Schizosaccharomyces pombe: one gene and its partners. Each later gene encodes a partner of the first gene's protein in a complex. Each region holds a gene or a part of one and is shown on either strand. Other genes may lie near its edges.

Region 1 (5,833 bases):
AGCTTGTCTGGTTCATGACTTGAGTGAAATATATCGTACCTTCGTCCTCTAGTTTAGAAATTTCCCTGCTTACGAGCAATTGTGGTGGAATGCTCAAAGAATAATCCAATTGGCTAATAGTCAATCTTTGTGTTTCAAGATAGTCCATATAAGAGACTAATTCGCTCAAATCTTCCATCTCAAAATCTTCATATTCTTCCATAGACTTAATGTTTCGTTAGGATGATTTATTCAGGTGCGGGTTACGTTAGTTCACACATTTAATAGAATAATTCTTTTTTTTAAAGTAACCAACCAGACGGTAAAAAAGCTTTACACTAGTTTTATTAAAATGGTGGAACGTAAATGTCTAGTGTAACCAAAACTAGCAATGTAAACTGTGCTAAACTATTGATGATAGAAGTACTTTCACAGTTTCTTTTCGTTCAAAGAAATTAAAACTTTGAACAAGTAGATTAAGTTTCTGGCAATGTCAAACTACGTTTGTTAATGGCTAATGTTATTGCGGCACAAAAACTAATTATCAGCGATGCTTCAATGTCTAAGATGGAGGTCTATTTCATTATAATTGTTATTAGTAGATTCAAAAACCTTTAATCTAATTTAATTTTGTCATCTAACTCTATGCAAATTGTTTCATAAGATAAATTAAAGTATTTCTCTATTAATTTCCCAGTTCTTTAATATACAAAATTCATTTCAAAAATCCAGAACTCTATAAAAAACCCATGTTTTTCTTATAGTTATCAATTTCTGCTTGGGTCAAACGATCTTGAGATGACCAGTCAGCAGAAGAGCTTCTTGGTCGAAATCGAATCTTCGATCGATCCTTCGATCGGAAATACTCATCCATTTGCAGAGGTTTAATCATACCGAAAATTTTGTCTGGATCCCACTTTTGTTGTCGTTTTAATTGCTCTCGTAACTCAGGTGATTCAGCCCACGATGGTAAATTTACCTTTTTCTTATTACCTTCATCATCTGAATCATCCGAATAATCGCTATTTATTTCTGGTAATTCCACAGACGTGTTAGGCGATAGGGATCCATATCCAGGAAAATAATTCGACTTAGGCGTTTTCAGTAACGGTGATTTAGAAGAGGGCTCCTGCATAGACGAGTTCCTACCTTTAGCTGGAGCGTGCATAGAAGCTTTTTCAATAAAAGGTTTATTTGATTGTGAAGTACTAGAAGATGGAAGCTTTCCTTTCATAATACCATTCTGCTTAGTAAAAGGGTTGACGTTGTGATGCATTGTTTTGAATCCATGTTGATTCGTAAGACCGACATTACCATGTACGGGATTCTTATTTTTTTGTGCAGCTATCTTCTTTTTTCGATCTTCATTCTGACTATTAGTGGTCCCTATATCGAAGTTGTTTCTCAAACTACCAACAGAAGGCTGAGTTACAGAAGTAACTGAGTCAGGCTCCATTTTTTTTGGAATAGTTGAATGAAATGCCAATGACATGTCCTCAGCTAGCTCATTCGCAAACCTTTGAGTGGGTTTCGACGTGACGCGTGTTAACCCAGATTTTAGCATATGCCTTGAAGTTGCACCGTTGTCGGTTAACGGTTTCTTCTTTCGTAAATCTTCTTGTCTTTTTAACATATTTGAATGCCATGAAGCATTCACATTTGATGGGTTAGTAACAAGTCTTTTGGTCGTTGGTTTTTCTGATTTTTCCTCAAATGGCTTATTTGAGTGCATGCTTTTACTTGATGGTATAGCATCTGGTTCAGAACGAGGTTTATCGGAAATAGTATGTTCCATATCCCTAATGTTAGATGAATTGGCTGATGTGACAGTTTTGGTCTGACGACTTGGAAATTCGTTGTTTGATAACTCTCGTTCTTTACCATAGAACTTTTTGAAGCGATGAGTTTCGTTTTCAGAAGAGCGGCTTTCCATATTTGAAGCATTTGCTGCTCCATTTTTTGCTTTTCGCTTTTCAGTTTGCTCAAGTTCGCGTTGAGAGGCTGTGGCCACACGAATTGCAATCGGACGTGAATGCGGAGCAAAGTTGTGATCAGAATTTTGACGAGAATCATCATGCAATGGTTCAGATAACTTGTGCAGAGATTTTTCAATAAATTCCTTCTTGGAAGGCGGCAAAGAAGAGTCCGTATTTTCGTTTGCATCCGATTTCAAAGCGTTTGAGCTTGGTCTAGAATTTGAAGAATTAAAATCATTTGACGACTTTCTGGTTGAAAGCCTTGTGAATGTGCTTATCAGGGGGATCTTAGGCGCTTGAGTGATTACAGCATGACTTTTTGCAGGGCTTAAGGAAGACTCGTCGTTTTTATTATTCAGCTTCATTTTAGCAAGGTGCAAATCCTTAGCTGCAGAGTTTTTAGCAGCATCTAAAACTGCATTAATCGGTTTCTTCGTGGGCGGAGTCGAAGGAATTAATCTTTTATTAGAACTTACTTCTTGTATTTTCTGCCTTAATCGTTCGGCACGATCATAAGTTTTCAGTTCATAGTGGTTTTCATTGGAGGCAGTTAGCTCGTTCAATTTAGCAATAGAATCGGGAATTTTGGCTTCAAAAAAGTCAAACTCTTGACTTTTGGCATCACTTCCAGGTTGAGAAGATACAGGTAGTCTCTCTTCATTGGATTTTAATTTGGCCGTTAATGCCTCAGCTTCTACTGCGTTGGATTTATCGAAGGAAGTAATTTCGGGAGGGGATTCAAAAATAGTTGGATGAGGTTTAAGCATTTCATTTTCGACAGACCTTTTTCTTTCCTTGGAAGAAGAAGTAACAGTTTCAGAAGAGAAGGCGACTCCTGAACTTCTTTTACGAGTTTTGTAAGAAGTCGATAACCTAGTAGACGACGTGAGCGATTCCTTGGCTGATAAATCTGTCTTGGCGGGGATGACTGATGAAAGGAATTTTCGAAATTTAGAAGGACTAGAGGACACATTGGTATTTAACAAAGAAGAAGGAGCATCAGAAGTAGTTGAAGGTAGTGCCTTGATAGGTTCATCTAATGAAATTTCAGGATTATTCGTTAAGTTGTCTTTAGTACGCCGGCGATTTAACTGATTTATAAATGAATTAGTTGATTCCACACGACTGTGTAATGATGCAGGTCTTTTCAAAATCTCTTCACGTTTAGGTAAAGTGACAAAAGAATAAGCGGGGTGCTTTTGCTTTGGTAATTTATTAGGACTGTCAGCAGTTTCTGATGGGGAAGGCGAAGTTTCACGAAGAGGAACGTTCCATTCAGTAAAACGACGCTCTACTGAAGTAGGACTAAAAGCTGGCAAATTAGTCGGCAATCTCGTTTCTTTAATAGGAGATACACCACCTTTAGTAGATTTATTAACTATATCATCTTTGACATATTCAGAAGATAGCTTAGTAGAATCCCTATCATCATCAAATTGGGTTTCTGTATTAGTAGCAGTATGTAATTCTTTAGGTTCCTTGACTGTATTGGATTCACCCGACTTATATCCTTCAACAGCAGCTTCCTCAAGCTGATGTTGAATAGATGTTAACCGCATGCGAGGCGTTGGTAACGCACATCGATGTACAGGACTTAAACGAGGAGTGGAGTACTTCTCCTTTATCTTGGTAGGTGTTCTCACTAATTCATATATATCCCTAACCATCTAATTAGCACATATGATAAACAACAAATGCGTACGACTCTAGCTGTAACTTGGAAACTTCAAGCATGTGTTCATTCAACCAGTCCATGGTTTCAGATACAAGGAAGAAGAATTCTTTCATTTTTCCATTAGTGAGTTGTTGGGAGTATTCCAACTCCTTATTAAACCATAGTTCTGACCCATTAGAGCCCATCCTGTTTGGTTACATATAAAGAATGAGCTAGTTGCTGGAGAGTGGTCGGTGGTGGAAGCAATCAAATGTCAACAATATACAACAGTAGTTGTATACCTAAGCTTCCAACTAAATTTATAAACAATTATGCTTTCCCAATTTACAAATGATCAAAAGGTTTATTGTTTTCAAGATTTAAATGTAAATATCAAGTTCCGATGTTATAAACAATTGTTAGGAATATAGACATCGGTTAACGACGAAGAGGTTTTTAACGAAGTAACACTTTAAGCCATACATTTTTTCGAGATGCCGATGCTGATTTTATTGCAGTAATTATTGAGTGGAATAAGCAACCCAATGCATGCAACCTATCGTTCGTTTGATCAGCAGACAGAGTTAACTAGTTTGTGTTCAAATATCTTTCACCATTTGTTTATGTTTAGTATATAGCAAGCGGCACAGACATAAAAGTTTCTATTGAACGGCTACAAGCAATTTGTCATGCTTTATACGCTTGTCATTTATTGGATTTTTTTAATGATTCGATCTACAATATTCACGCATTTTCTCCATTTTTTGTTCACATACTTGCCATAGCTTTTAAAAATAATTTTTCCAATCAGACAGAGATAAATGCCAAATATCATACACTTGTCTTTAAGTTTTCAAGAATGTATTAAAACATGGGTAACCATTCTCAAAAAATTAAAAGCTTATTCAATACAAAATTCACCGTTCTCTTTTCATTTTGAGCTATTTTAACTCAATTAGACTTTTCATTCCTTACTCTGTTTTAGAGGACAATGTAAAGAGAATAGGGTAATAAATATGCTTTTATAATTGACAGTCTGTTATTATTCTTTTTAGCAATTTAAATATTTTTCTGAATTCCTAAAATTTCTTTAATTAATTAAATAAATAATATATACTTTTTTGTCTGACAGATCAAAAAAGGAAGGGTGTCCGAGTGGTTATGGAGCTAGTTTAAGGCACTAGTGCGAAAGCTCGTGGGTTCGAGTCCCACCCCTTTCAGTAATTTTTTATTGCATTTTATAGCAAAACAGGGGAGTGTGAATTTGGCAAGCTGTTAGTTTCTATAGGGAATTTATAACTGCGAACTAAGTTTTCTTACTTGCAATGGCTATATATGGGAGGCCGAATTGCTTGAAAAACATAGCTTTGCATTTGAAACAATTCGCAAAAGTTGGCACTAAGGAAGAAGTTAAGATAAAAAAAATTCAGTTACTTTGGTTTTATGATTTGCAATTAAATTACAGTGATCGCAGAAAGATAGCAGCATTACGAAGACATGTTCAACTGCTACATAACACTTGCTATTGTTAAAGTTTTCGAAATAGTTACTGCCCGTTACATGTAAAGAACAGATAAAAAATAAATTAGAATTACTGTCTTCTCAAATGCTTAAATATTACTACTATGAAATTGTTATATAAACAAAATGTAGCGTTGCAAAGTATTACAGTAAACTTCGTTGTGCTGCATTATTAGTATTGTCCGGGACTTACTGATTCCACGACCTGTAACTAAATTGCTATAATCTCAGACTGTTAGCTTGGGATTGCCTGGAAATTGACAGGATGAGTGTGAGGAAGAATTCTCCTGCAAGCCCAAAGCCAACTTCCCGTTCTAGGGAGAGTTCCAGGTCTCCGTCAGTGACTGATTTGAAAGGTAAATGGAAATTCAAAGCAAAACTTGACTGACCACCATTTTTAATAGACCATTCCAAAGCTAAACGAACATTATGTAGAAATATCTTACTTTATGGATCCTGTAAGCATTCAGAAAATGGATGTGCTTTTCGACATGATGGTGTAAGTATAGGCGTATTCTCTTAACTTCAGAGAAGCTTCTTGCTTACGATTGTTTGTAGCCTTTCATCCCTTCTTCAGAGAATTTGGAGCAATACTCAGTGTATGATTTTTTTTAAGGCTTTGTACGTATAATTAACCTCGCTAGTAAGAAAAAACTGAATGCTGCGTCGGCCTCTTTTCAACCTGTTCGCGCTTTACCAGTAA
Region 2 (6,051 bases), on another chromosome or scaffold:
TGGAAAAGAATCCATCTCGCTCTGATCTCACGACAACCCAGGAAGCTTCTTCTTCTGCTTCTGTGCCACCGGCTATTGCACCTGAGTCTGCAAACGCTGCCTTAACTAGCACTATTGACAAGACTACGGGAGCACCTGAATTGGCACAGAAAAAGTATAAAGTATACGTTGGTCAAGGTAAAAATATGCCTCATAAGACTATAAAGATTATCGTTACAGACAATCAAGACCACAGCTTTAAAACCAAATCTCGGAAAGGCCCGTCTCCCTCATGGAACGAAGAGATTCCGGTCAAATGGAGTTTGGGTGACGAACTTCGAATTTCAGCCGTTACTTCCAACTTGCTTGGACATACTAAACTGGGTGAAGCGGTATTTCAAGAAGATGCTATTGGTACATTTAGGGTTGTAATTGGTGGTTCATCTTCTGTTGAAATTAAGGTCGAAGCTGAGTAGTATGGGTAATGCTTCCGGTTCTTTTCAACGTTCGTTATACTTTACTTTCACTATCTTGTTGTTTAATTCATTCTATTCATATTGACTCAAATATAGTACCATATTTGTATATTGTGCTGCCAAAAAAATAAATACTATAAGAAGAATTATTAAGACTACATCACCAGATTAGCGTAGTGTTGATATAAATACAGATAATAAGAGGATCCGATTAACAAAACAAGAAACATAAAAGAAAAAGAAAGAAAAGGACGCTGACAGTGCATTCAGACAAATTTAGTTCACATTACTTTAAAATGTAGCCCGCCAACATTTTCGCTTAAAGCGAGACGGTCCATAAATACAGAAACACAATATGTAAAATTATAAGTTTTGTATGTATTCTTCCGCCCGCTTACCTTCTTCCAGTAACCATTCTATTTTTTCTTCACAGGCTTCTTCAAACTCTTTTGCACATTTAGCATACATAAATTTAATCCACTGCTCAACGGTCATATCCAGTTCTTTTTCACTTAGTTTGTTTGGCTCTACAGGATTCGGTACTGGAGATTCTAATAGACTCGAGAAATCTATGGGTTCCCATGGTGGTGCATTTGCTTCAACTAAGGGCAAAGCATGTTTTGATTTGACAGGAGTTTGAGGAGCCAAAAATGAAGATTGGCACAATGGATCAAATGGACTGATCGAATGGTCATAGTAGGATTCATCTAAAGGCTTCCGGACACTTGGCAAATTTATACTCGTTACTTCTTTCTCAGCGTAAGTTTTAGCGAAAGCTGAAGAGGTTTCACAAGAACCAGGTGAAGTTTCAACATCCTTTTTACTTACATTATCGATTTTATCTACCTTCGTTTCCTTCTCAGGTGTATTTTTCGACACTGATCTAGTACCATTCTGTACAGAAGTCCTAGAATTTTTGATTTCTTGATCAGGAAAAGCATCACTTAACGAGACTTTGTCTACCTCAGTCAATTTTTCTTCAATCTTTTCAATATTTTCTAATTCATGGTTGGCCTCCTTTTCTTGCAATTTATCAGAAGTTTCTGTATTAACAGCTTCAACGGTTTGATTGTTCTTGCTCTGTAGCTTAGGAGAATTAATGTCATCTTCTTGAAATGTCACTTTTTCGGAGTTTCCGACGTTTCTGTCAGGAAGATCCTTTAAGTAACTTCCTGATTCAAGTTCATTGGGTTGTACGATCGGCTGGGGATCCAGGCTTGAATGAACATTCATGACAGTATGACCAGAATTAGCTTCCTCATGATTAACATTTTCACTTTTTTCATCGGAAACAGGACTTGATACGTCTCTCGTCTTGGTCACTCCTCTATCTATAGAAACTCTAACCGTTTGGGACTCATCGCAAATGGCCTTTCTTTTTTCCTCAGGAAGCACTTCGCTAATTTCAGTTTTTGGTTTTTCTATAAAGTCCACTATTGATGTATCAAACTTTGTTTTTGATGTTGAGGTACTTTTTCCCTTCTCTAAAACTCCGCTTACAAGATTATCCTTCCTTTTAATTGCTAAGAGAGGAATTAGATCAATTAAAGGTTTGTCATCATTTTCAGATTCAGAAAGCAATTGTAGTGACTGTTCAGACTCCATACTCTTATTCTCAAGATCCTCAAATTTACTAACGTGAATGGCAGTTTGGCTGTCCTCTGTAACTTTTACTGGTTCATGTGAATCCTCAGTAGACGAAACTAAAATGTTTTTAGATTGTAAAACTTCTTGAAATTTTCTCTTCTTTTCAGGAATTGGTATTTTCAAATTGGTCTCGTCATTTTCATCATTTGCTTCTTCCGAGTTTCTCTTTTTTGAAATGTTGCTAAACGAATCTATTGTACTCCTTGGTGAAAAATTGGTTTGTAATATTTTATCTCTGAAGCTTGAAGAAGACACTCTACCTCCTGTTGCAGCATCAGTCATATCGGGAGATGAAGTTGATGGCTTTGAAGAGATTGGTTGTTTTGTGGACTCCTCTATGAACGAACCTTGAAGATTTAAATGCTCATCTTCTTTTTCAACCTTCTGCTGTTCCGGAGTTTCGATAGCAACTTGTTTTTCTGTATGATTTTGCTCTTTACCAACAGAAGAAACAGAAGACGAAATTTCCTTTGATTTGGAAACCACAGATATTTCTTCTTCAATTTTTGATTCGATTTCAATTTTCGGCGGCGTAGACATACAATTATTTTGCTCATCACTTTCATCAGTTACAGATTGATGTCCAGTTATGTCAGAAACAGTTGTGTGGACGGATGTAGCTGGTGATACAAGATGTTCCAGCTCATTATCTTTTTCATCTTCTTTAAGTGGAATTTCTTCTGTAAAATTCTTTTTGGCTACTTGCATAGAGTCATTACATATCCCTTTAGAGAAGGGTTGAGAGGCGGTCAAGTCGTCGTCATCTTCGTCTTCATCAGAAAAAATTGGCTTAACAGGTTTAAAGACTGCTGGCTTTGATTTTTTTGGAGATTTATTTTTTCGCCTTGGAGCCGTAAGTAAAACGGGCTTCGTTGGACTTTGTGGTGCACGGGTGGGTTGTGAGTCTTTCTCCTCAGAGGTATTAGTATAAAGGGACATTGTTAAAGGACGTGCATTAAGATTATTCTTTCTACTAGGGGAGAAATTTAAAGTTTTATGAGATTTTGTTGAATCTCGGGTGGGAGAAACGGGAAGAATGGAATTATCCTCGGTCAAGTCTTCAGGGTCAATGTTCGACGTAGATAAAAAAGACAGTTTAGTAGGAGATAAGCTATTTGGGTCTTTCCATGTAAAAAACACACAGTCCGCACGACGGCGTTTGTGCTCGGTGTAAGGGTCATCATCCGGTTCCCAATCATGAAGATTAATATCACAATATAAGCAATGAGCTGCATCTTTAGCATCAGCAGTTGGATTGTATACAAAACCAGAAGCAGCCATTACACTCGGCTCACAGTGATAATCAGGGCGATTGGTATACGGCCATACTTTATCAACAAAAGTTTGTTCTCGACATTTTGTGAGAGCTGCAGCTTGGGGGTTCTGGTTTGGATTGTTTTTTGAGGATAAAATATATGCCCATGGACAGCTGGGGCTATGAGTAATATGCTCTTTCAATGGATCATCATCATCCTCCCAGTCATAAAATGACTTGGTACACATATAGCATGTAACATTATCAAGTCTTTCTTCAGAATTAGATTCAGAGATTGGATTGTAATAGAAACCGACAGTAGCAAGCTATTTTCTTGTTAGCAACACAGATGAAAACTCTATCGTCAACATACAGTTTCTGGCGTCGGTTTGGCTCGCGGCCATTTTTTTTTCTGGAAAGTGTCAAGTCGTTTAGAGTAATTACACATTTCCCTTCGAAACCGATTCCATCGGCGTTTAGAAGAAGACGTTATCGGTTTCATTCTGAGCAAGCTTCAACAAGTGAAATTTAGATACCAAATTTCGACTTCCGATCCTTAAAACTATAAAATTAATTTTTTTAAAACTTCTGGTTATTGTCTTTAGACAATATCAGATACTTCCAAATGCATAGGATAGGGAAGGTCGCCTCGCAAGGCGTATATGGGTAATGTTTACTTTTTGTAGATTGCTAGGGCACACGAGTTTACTGTAATTGAACAATGTCGTTATATTGCGTAAAATGTCGTTAAGTAGTATAGCAGACTTTAATAAATGGAAGGTTCACTGGTTACAAATTTTTCGAGATGACTAGGTTTAGATATTATATTGAGTAAGGAAGATTCAATTATTGTCTTTAATGTCAGCCTTATGATCTTTGTTAATAAATTCAAAATTTAACTAGAAGATTTTTGCTAGCACAAAGTAATGTATCATAGTTTGGTACTAATATTGTTACATATAATAATATTAAAGCTCCAACTCTAAAGTATGGAGCATCGTGAAAGAAGAATAAGGCTACATTTTCATGGCTATTCAAAGGAAACTATGCATATCAACAAGACAAATCTGATTTCATTTTCCTCTTTCGATGCGATGGTCAAAGTTATGAATACAATGATGAATCAGCTGTCTCATTAGAAAAAAGTTGAAAAGAGGATGACAAATGCGGTGGAAATATTGAACTTCCTAAAACCTCAAATAAAAGTTAAGCAATAGAGGAAGTACAATCATGAAGACAATGTAAAATAAATTAATTGAATTAGTCCCATGTTGTTTCAAAGGTACAAAACCTGTATCTAGTAGTGGAGCAGCCAAAAGCTACAACTAAATCGACAACAAAGACCAAAACTGTTGAATGATTCCTGTGTTTCGTCAATAAAACAAATAATAAACTCACAAAATAACCACGATCTATAAACCATTCGTTGGTTAGAAAGTGAATGAAAAAAAGTAAACAAAAGTTCGTTTCGACACGCACACTCAGGACGGACTTGAGAAATAATTTAACAAGTACAAGATGTTCAACTTTCCAGCACAATCATTAAACAACAATATAACAAAATGAGAAGAGTGACAACTGCGGAATGTATGTCTAGGTAAACCTCCTAAAATGTAATAATCTCGTCTAATAACAATCGCGCCATACACGTAAAGGTAAATGAAAAAATCGGCATCCTCAATTGCTCAATGAAATAATTTAACGATATTATAAACCACAGGACCACAGCCAAAATCATGAAGCCACTTCGATGTTTATGAAAATGAACAATCTAAAAAAGAACGAAACCTAAACAAGCATAAATGAATAATGTATGTGAAGTATCATTACATAGCCATATCTTCGGCATTAGTCGCCGAAAATTGAAAATCGCCGGCAGGCTCTTGTGTAGTTCCAAATGTAAACGTATCACCGACGGTTTCTGGTTCAAGCTCTTCGATTTCGTCTTCTTCACCGAAAAACTTTTCGATAATATTGTAAGCTTTTTGGTAAATTTCCGAATTAGATGAGTTCTGACATTCGTGGATCAAATCCATACCACCAGCATCCTCAACGTAGACGGCGTATAAATTGATTTTATCAGGGTTATTCGCGCGATCAAGTTCACCCACTCGCAAAATATTTTCAATACCATCTAAAGCAACCTGGATAATCTTGTTATCTTGACAAGCCAGCAAATTACATAAAGGTTTGATTGCGCCTTGCTCTACAAGGTAGCGAATTTGGTCGGGACGACGAGCGCCACCGGATGTGGCATTGGAAATGGCCCAGCAGGCTTCCTTTTGGATTTTAAAGTCAGCGGTCGTAAGGAGATGAATTAAAGGAGGAATAATGTTAGCTTCAATAACATATTGAATTTGAGAAGAATTACCGGCCGTTATATTACTAATTGTCCAACAGGCTTCCTTACGAACGCCATCGCGTGGACTGCTTAACAAAGAAAGTAAAGCACTTAAAGCACCACAATTAATGATGACCTGGGTCTGAACGTCATCTCCTGTAACAATATTTCCTACGGATCGGAGAGCAGGAGTCTGTACTTGAGCGCTAGGATGCATTAAAAGTTCAACAAGCCTACGAGGAATCCCTGCATCAATGATGGCTTGGATCTTCTCATTAGCGCCATCAGATAAATAGGAAATGGCCCAAAGGGCATCAACTAAAACATCTTCGTCTAAGGTATAAATTAATTTC
Region 3 (3,771 bases), on another chromosome or scaffold:
GGCCATCTTTTCTCTATCATCTTTGTATCTATCATACATGATTACTTGACCACCATAGCCTTTCGTGGCAGCGACCTTGGCTTCGGGTGCATCGAGTGGCATAATGATTTTTGCTGGAATTCCCAAGATCTTTGCCGACAGTGCAATGGCCTGAGCATGATTACCAGAAGAAAACGTCAAAACACCAGCTTTACGTTGAGCTTCATTGAGTTGAGAAAGAGCATTAAGGGCACCGCGAAATTTGAAAGCACCCATTTTTTGGAAATTTTCACATTTAAAAAACACTTCTGCCACAAACTCTTTATTTACTGTGCTCGACGTGAGTACTGGGGTTTTGTTGGCGAATTTCTTAATTCGCTCACTAGCTGAAGCAACATCATCATAGGTAGGAAGCACCAGGTTATCGCTCATTGTCGTAGTTTTTTAAAAATTTAAAAAGAGTGAAAATATCCTTTTATTCTGTAAACTATTCAGTCTTAAAATGCAAACTGAAGAATTTAACGACAATGAGAGATGTCAAATCAAGCAGAGCTCTCGATCATTTATAGAGAGAACCGTCAACTGTAACGCTATCTTATCTTTACTATGAAAAGAAGGTCAAAAAATGCGAGCCCAACTCGGAAACGAATTTATAGGCGACAATTGTAAAGACACTTACACAATTAGAACCAAATGGAAATGAAACAGCAGGACGGAGCTCCAACTTGCTAGTTCATAAAACAGTGACATGTAGCATAGCGAGTATAATGCTAATCACTATTTGTAGTATTCCTCTGTAATAAATGTTAACATTATATAGTGAGAATTTCAAGATGTAGAAACAGTCTGTTAAGAGTGTCATAGAATATAACGAAAATGCATGTATAACAATTGTTTCGACTCATTGAGTGCCAGAATAGTAACGTCTTTCTACCTTTAGCGTGATGAACAGTCATGCAGCATTGGTTAAATATATCAATAGTTTGAACCAAGCCTCGTTAATTTCTGTAAACTGTATCTGCTCAGCAATGGACTTGACTGCAGCTTAAATCAGTTTAGAAATAAATATCCAACAAACGGTGTTTTGACTTTCACATTACTATGCATATAACTCGTTACTAAAGAGTTCTTTTTTTTTATGAGAAATCTTAATCAAGAATGAAAAAGCTGATAATTAATGCTAAAACAATCGCAGAATTATATAATCCGTCATGGTCCAGTGGCTAGGATTCATCGCTCTCACCGATGCGGCGGGGGTTCGATTCCCCCTGACGGAGATTTTTTATCGTGTACTTTTCTAAATTGATTGAGAAATACGATAATTTATTATCAACTACAATTGTTAATTCACTTTTCGGTCCTTTTCTTTTGGTGTTACTCTACTTACTGAATTCTTTTCTTTTCTTGTTAGTTAGCACTGTCTCCTTCTGAAGCGTTAATATTGTAAGTATTCTATAACTAGTATTGAATAGTTCACTGTATATCGTTATTCGGTAAACAAACAGTGGACACATTGAAAAGAATAAAAAACAGATACTAAATATACTTTTAAGCCTGTGGTATTGGGATGATATAGAATATTCTGTTTGTTTTCCTTTTATTTATTTTGTTGAGAACGATACATGTCGTTTTTTTTAATAACATTTGTAGAATCGAAGTGGGTTCGTATGCTAAATAAATTCGTTCATAATTTCCATGTAAATAATCTTTGAAACACCCTTTGAGTATTCATAAATAACAACGGGAATCAGAGCCTCCTTCTTAGTTTGAAAGAAAGGAAGATAATAGCAGGCTGTGTTAAGACTCAGTAAACATGGTGTTACCTCAAAATGTAAACAACAACGCTCCTACTTCTGGACGAACTTGTCAAAAGCCAACATCAGCGTTTTTTTACGAAATAATGTCAGATTCAAAGTTGGCAGATTCTTTGAATTGCCTTTCTGTGTCAACTCCATCAACCACAGCTAATCCTGGGAGACAACAGCTTTTACGACTTGCAGTATCAAACCAACGACAAGTAAATAATGTTAGTCTAGCAAATGGGAAGGAAAACAAACGGACTTCAAATAGCAAGTTCAATTCTTCCCTTCGTAAGATAGAAGAGCCAATTGCTGGAGTACCTTCATCAGCTGGTCCTCAATGGCGAGAATTTCATATTGGAATGTTTGAAATTGGAAAACCCTTAGGGAAAGGAAAGTTTGGAAGGGTATATCTAGCTAAAGAGAAGAAGACCGGGTTTATTGTGGCTCTCAAAACATTGCATAAGTCTGAACTTGTCCAGTCAAAGATAGAAAAGCAAGTTCGACGAGAAATTGAGATTCAATCAAATCTTCGCCATAAAAACATTTTACGGCTATATGGGCACTTTCATGATGAAAAAAGGATTTATTTGATTTTAGAGTTTGCTGGCAGGGGTGAGTTGTATCAACACTTGCGTCGTGCAAAACGATTCTCAGAAGAAGTTGCGTCTAAATATATCTTCCAAATGGCTAACGCCTTATCCTACTTGCATAAGAAGCATGTAATACACCGTGATATCAAACCTGAGAACATTTTATTAGGAATTGATGGAGAAATCAAGCTTTCTGACTTTGGTTGGAGTGTCCATGCACCTTCTAACCGTCGTACCACTTTATGTGGTACATTAGATTACTTACCACCTGAAATGGTGGAGGGAAAAGAGCATACCGAAAAAGTTGATCTCTGGTCGTTGGGTGTCTTAACTTATGAGTTTTTGGTGGGAGCACCGCCTTTTGAGGACATGTCTGGTCATTCAGCTACGTATAAGCGTATCGCCAAAGTTGACTTAAAAATTCCAAGCTTTGTTCCTCCTGATGCACGGGATCTTATTTCTCGTCTATTACAGCATAATCCTGAAAAAAGAATGAGTTTGGAACAAGTTATGAGGCACCCTTGGATTGTAAAATATAAAGATTCATGGACTCGCAAAAGTTCTGAATCTTCCTAACCGCCATCTTGGTACTTTTTATTTAATTTTTCCTTCTTCTCACTACATTTTTGCATTACTACTTTCTTTTTGTTTCAGCGCTCTTTTTAATCGCGCAGCTCACTATATTCCTTCAGAACTTTTTTGATCTTTGGGGGTTATGGAGGTTTAATTATATGTAATATAACACACTCATTTAATAGAGGATCACCACCATAAACTAATCGTTTTCCAGATTTTCTTTTCGAAATCACTTAGAAGACATTCATTTTCCTAATAAAAACTATTTAAAAATTTATCATCACTTTAGCCAAGCTAATAATAACTTCCAAAAAAACTGTTACAATATGTATAAAGATAAAGTACGCCAAGCACATAATAAGTTGCATAACAAGTGAGAAGTATGCTTCGATATTTTTTAAAAGCCAACGTAAATGCTGTACGGGATATTATAAAATGGGAGGGGAAGGGAGTTGACATAATAACTATCTGACTTTTGTAAACTGGTATTTCAATAGACTAGACGAAAGAATGAATAGTTAGTACGAAGAAAAAAATGAATGAACAAAACTACAGCGAACGTACTTTTTTCAAAAGGCCTGAAATCGTTGAAACAGGAATTGAACACTTCTTCAACGATTGCTTCTGCTTGCTCTTTGCTTTTACAATTCGGGTTACCTTGTACGGAGATAGTAGCTCGTCGTTTGACGCATTCTTGATGATGCTTCCGAAAAGTTTTAATGTTACCAAAACGAAGTTCTTTGGTCCAGCGACACTCACCACTCATACTACTAGCACGAATTTCTGAACAAGCCTGATGTCTCAAATTGTTCCAATCGACTTCA

The links. The genes of interacting proteins can lie anywhere in the genome.
Region 2: pic1 (region 1) and bir1 share a complex: the UniProt entries of both Schizosaccharomyces pombe proteins name them as parts of the CPC complex.
Region 3: pic1 (region 1) and ark1 share a complex: the UniProt entries of both Schizosaccharomyces pombe proteins name them as parts of the CPC complex.

The regions. Positions count from the first base shown.
Region 1 is NC_003423.3:2,767,253-2,773,085, reverse strand, and holds pic1 (INCENP-like protein Pic1), read right to left. Parts: upstream 3,879-5,833; 5' UTR 3,816-3,878; coding exon 3,658-3,815; exon of another isoform or gene 3,615-3,657; coding exon 716-3,614; 3' UTR 548-715; downstream 1-547. Other genes in the region: single-strand DNA-specific 5'-3' exodeoxyribonuclease Exo5, read right to left, coding at 40-202; PAN complex subunit Ppk26, read left to right, coding at 5,396-5,486, 5,535-5,629, 5,689-5,729, 5,775-5,833. UniProt on the Schizosaccharomyces pombe protein: Component of the chromosomal passenger complex (CPC), a complex that acts as a key regulator of mitosis. Has a role in sister chromatid cohesion and condensation.
Region 2 is NC_003421.2:545,290-551,340, forward strand, and holds bir1 (survivin Bir1), read right to left. Parts: upstream 4,011-6,051; 5' UTR 3,860-4,010; coding exon 3,731-3,859; exon of another isoform or gene 3,684-3,730; coding exon 819-3,683; 3' UTR 516-818; downstream 1-515. Other genes in the region: tricalbin, C2 domain protein (phospholipid binding) ER-plasma membrane tethering protein Tcb1, read left to right, coding at 1-455; importin alpha family nuclear import signal receptor adaptor Cut15, read right to left, coding at 5,184-6,051. UniProt on the Schizosaccharomyces pombe protein: Component of the chromosomal passenger complex (CPC), a complex that acts as a key regulator of chromosome segregation and cytokinesis.
Region 3 is NC_003421.2:139,783-143,553, forward strand, and holds ark1 (Aurora-B kinase Ark1), read left to right. Parts: upstream 1-1,847; 5' UTR 1,848-1,879; coding exon 1,880-2,947; 3' UTR 2,948-3,256; downstream 3,257-3,771. Other genes in the region: serine racemase Sry1, read right to left, coding at 1-411; peptidase Atp23, read right to left, coding at 3,438-3,445, 3,512-3,771. UniProt on the Schizosaccharomyces pombe protein: Component of the chromosomal passenger complex (CPC), a complex that acts as a key regulator of chromosome segregation and cytokinesis.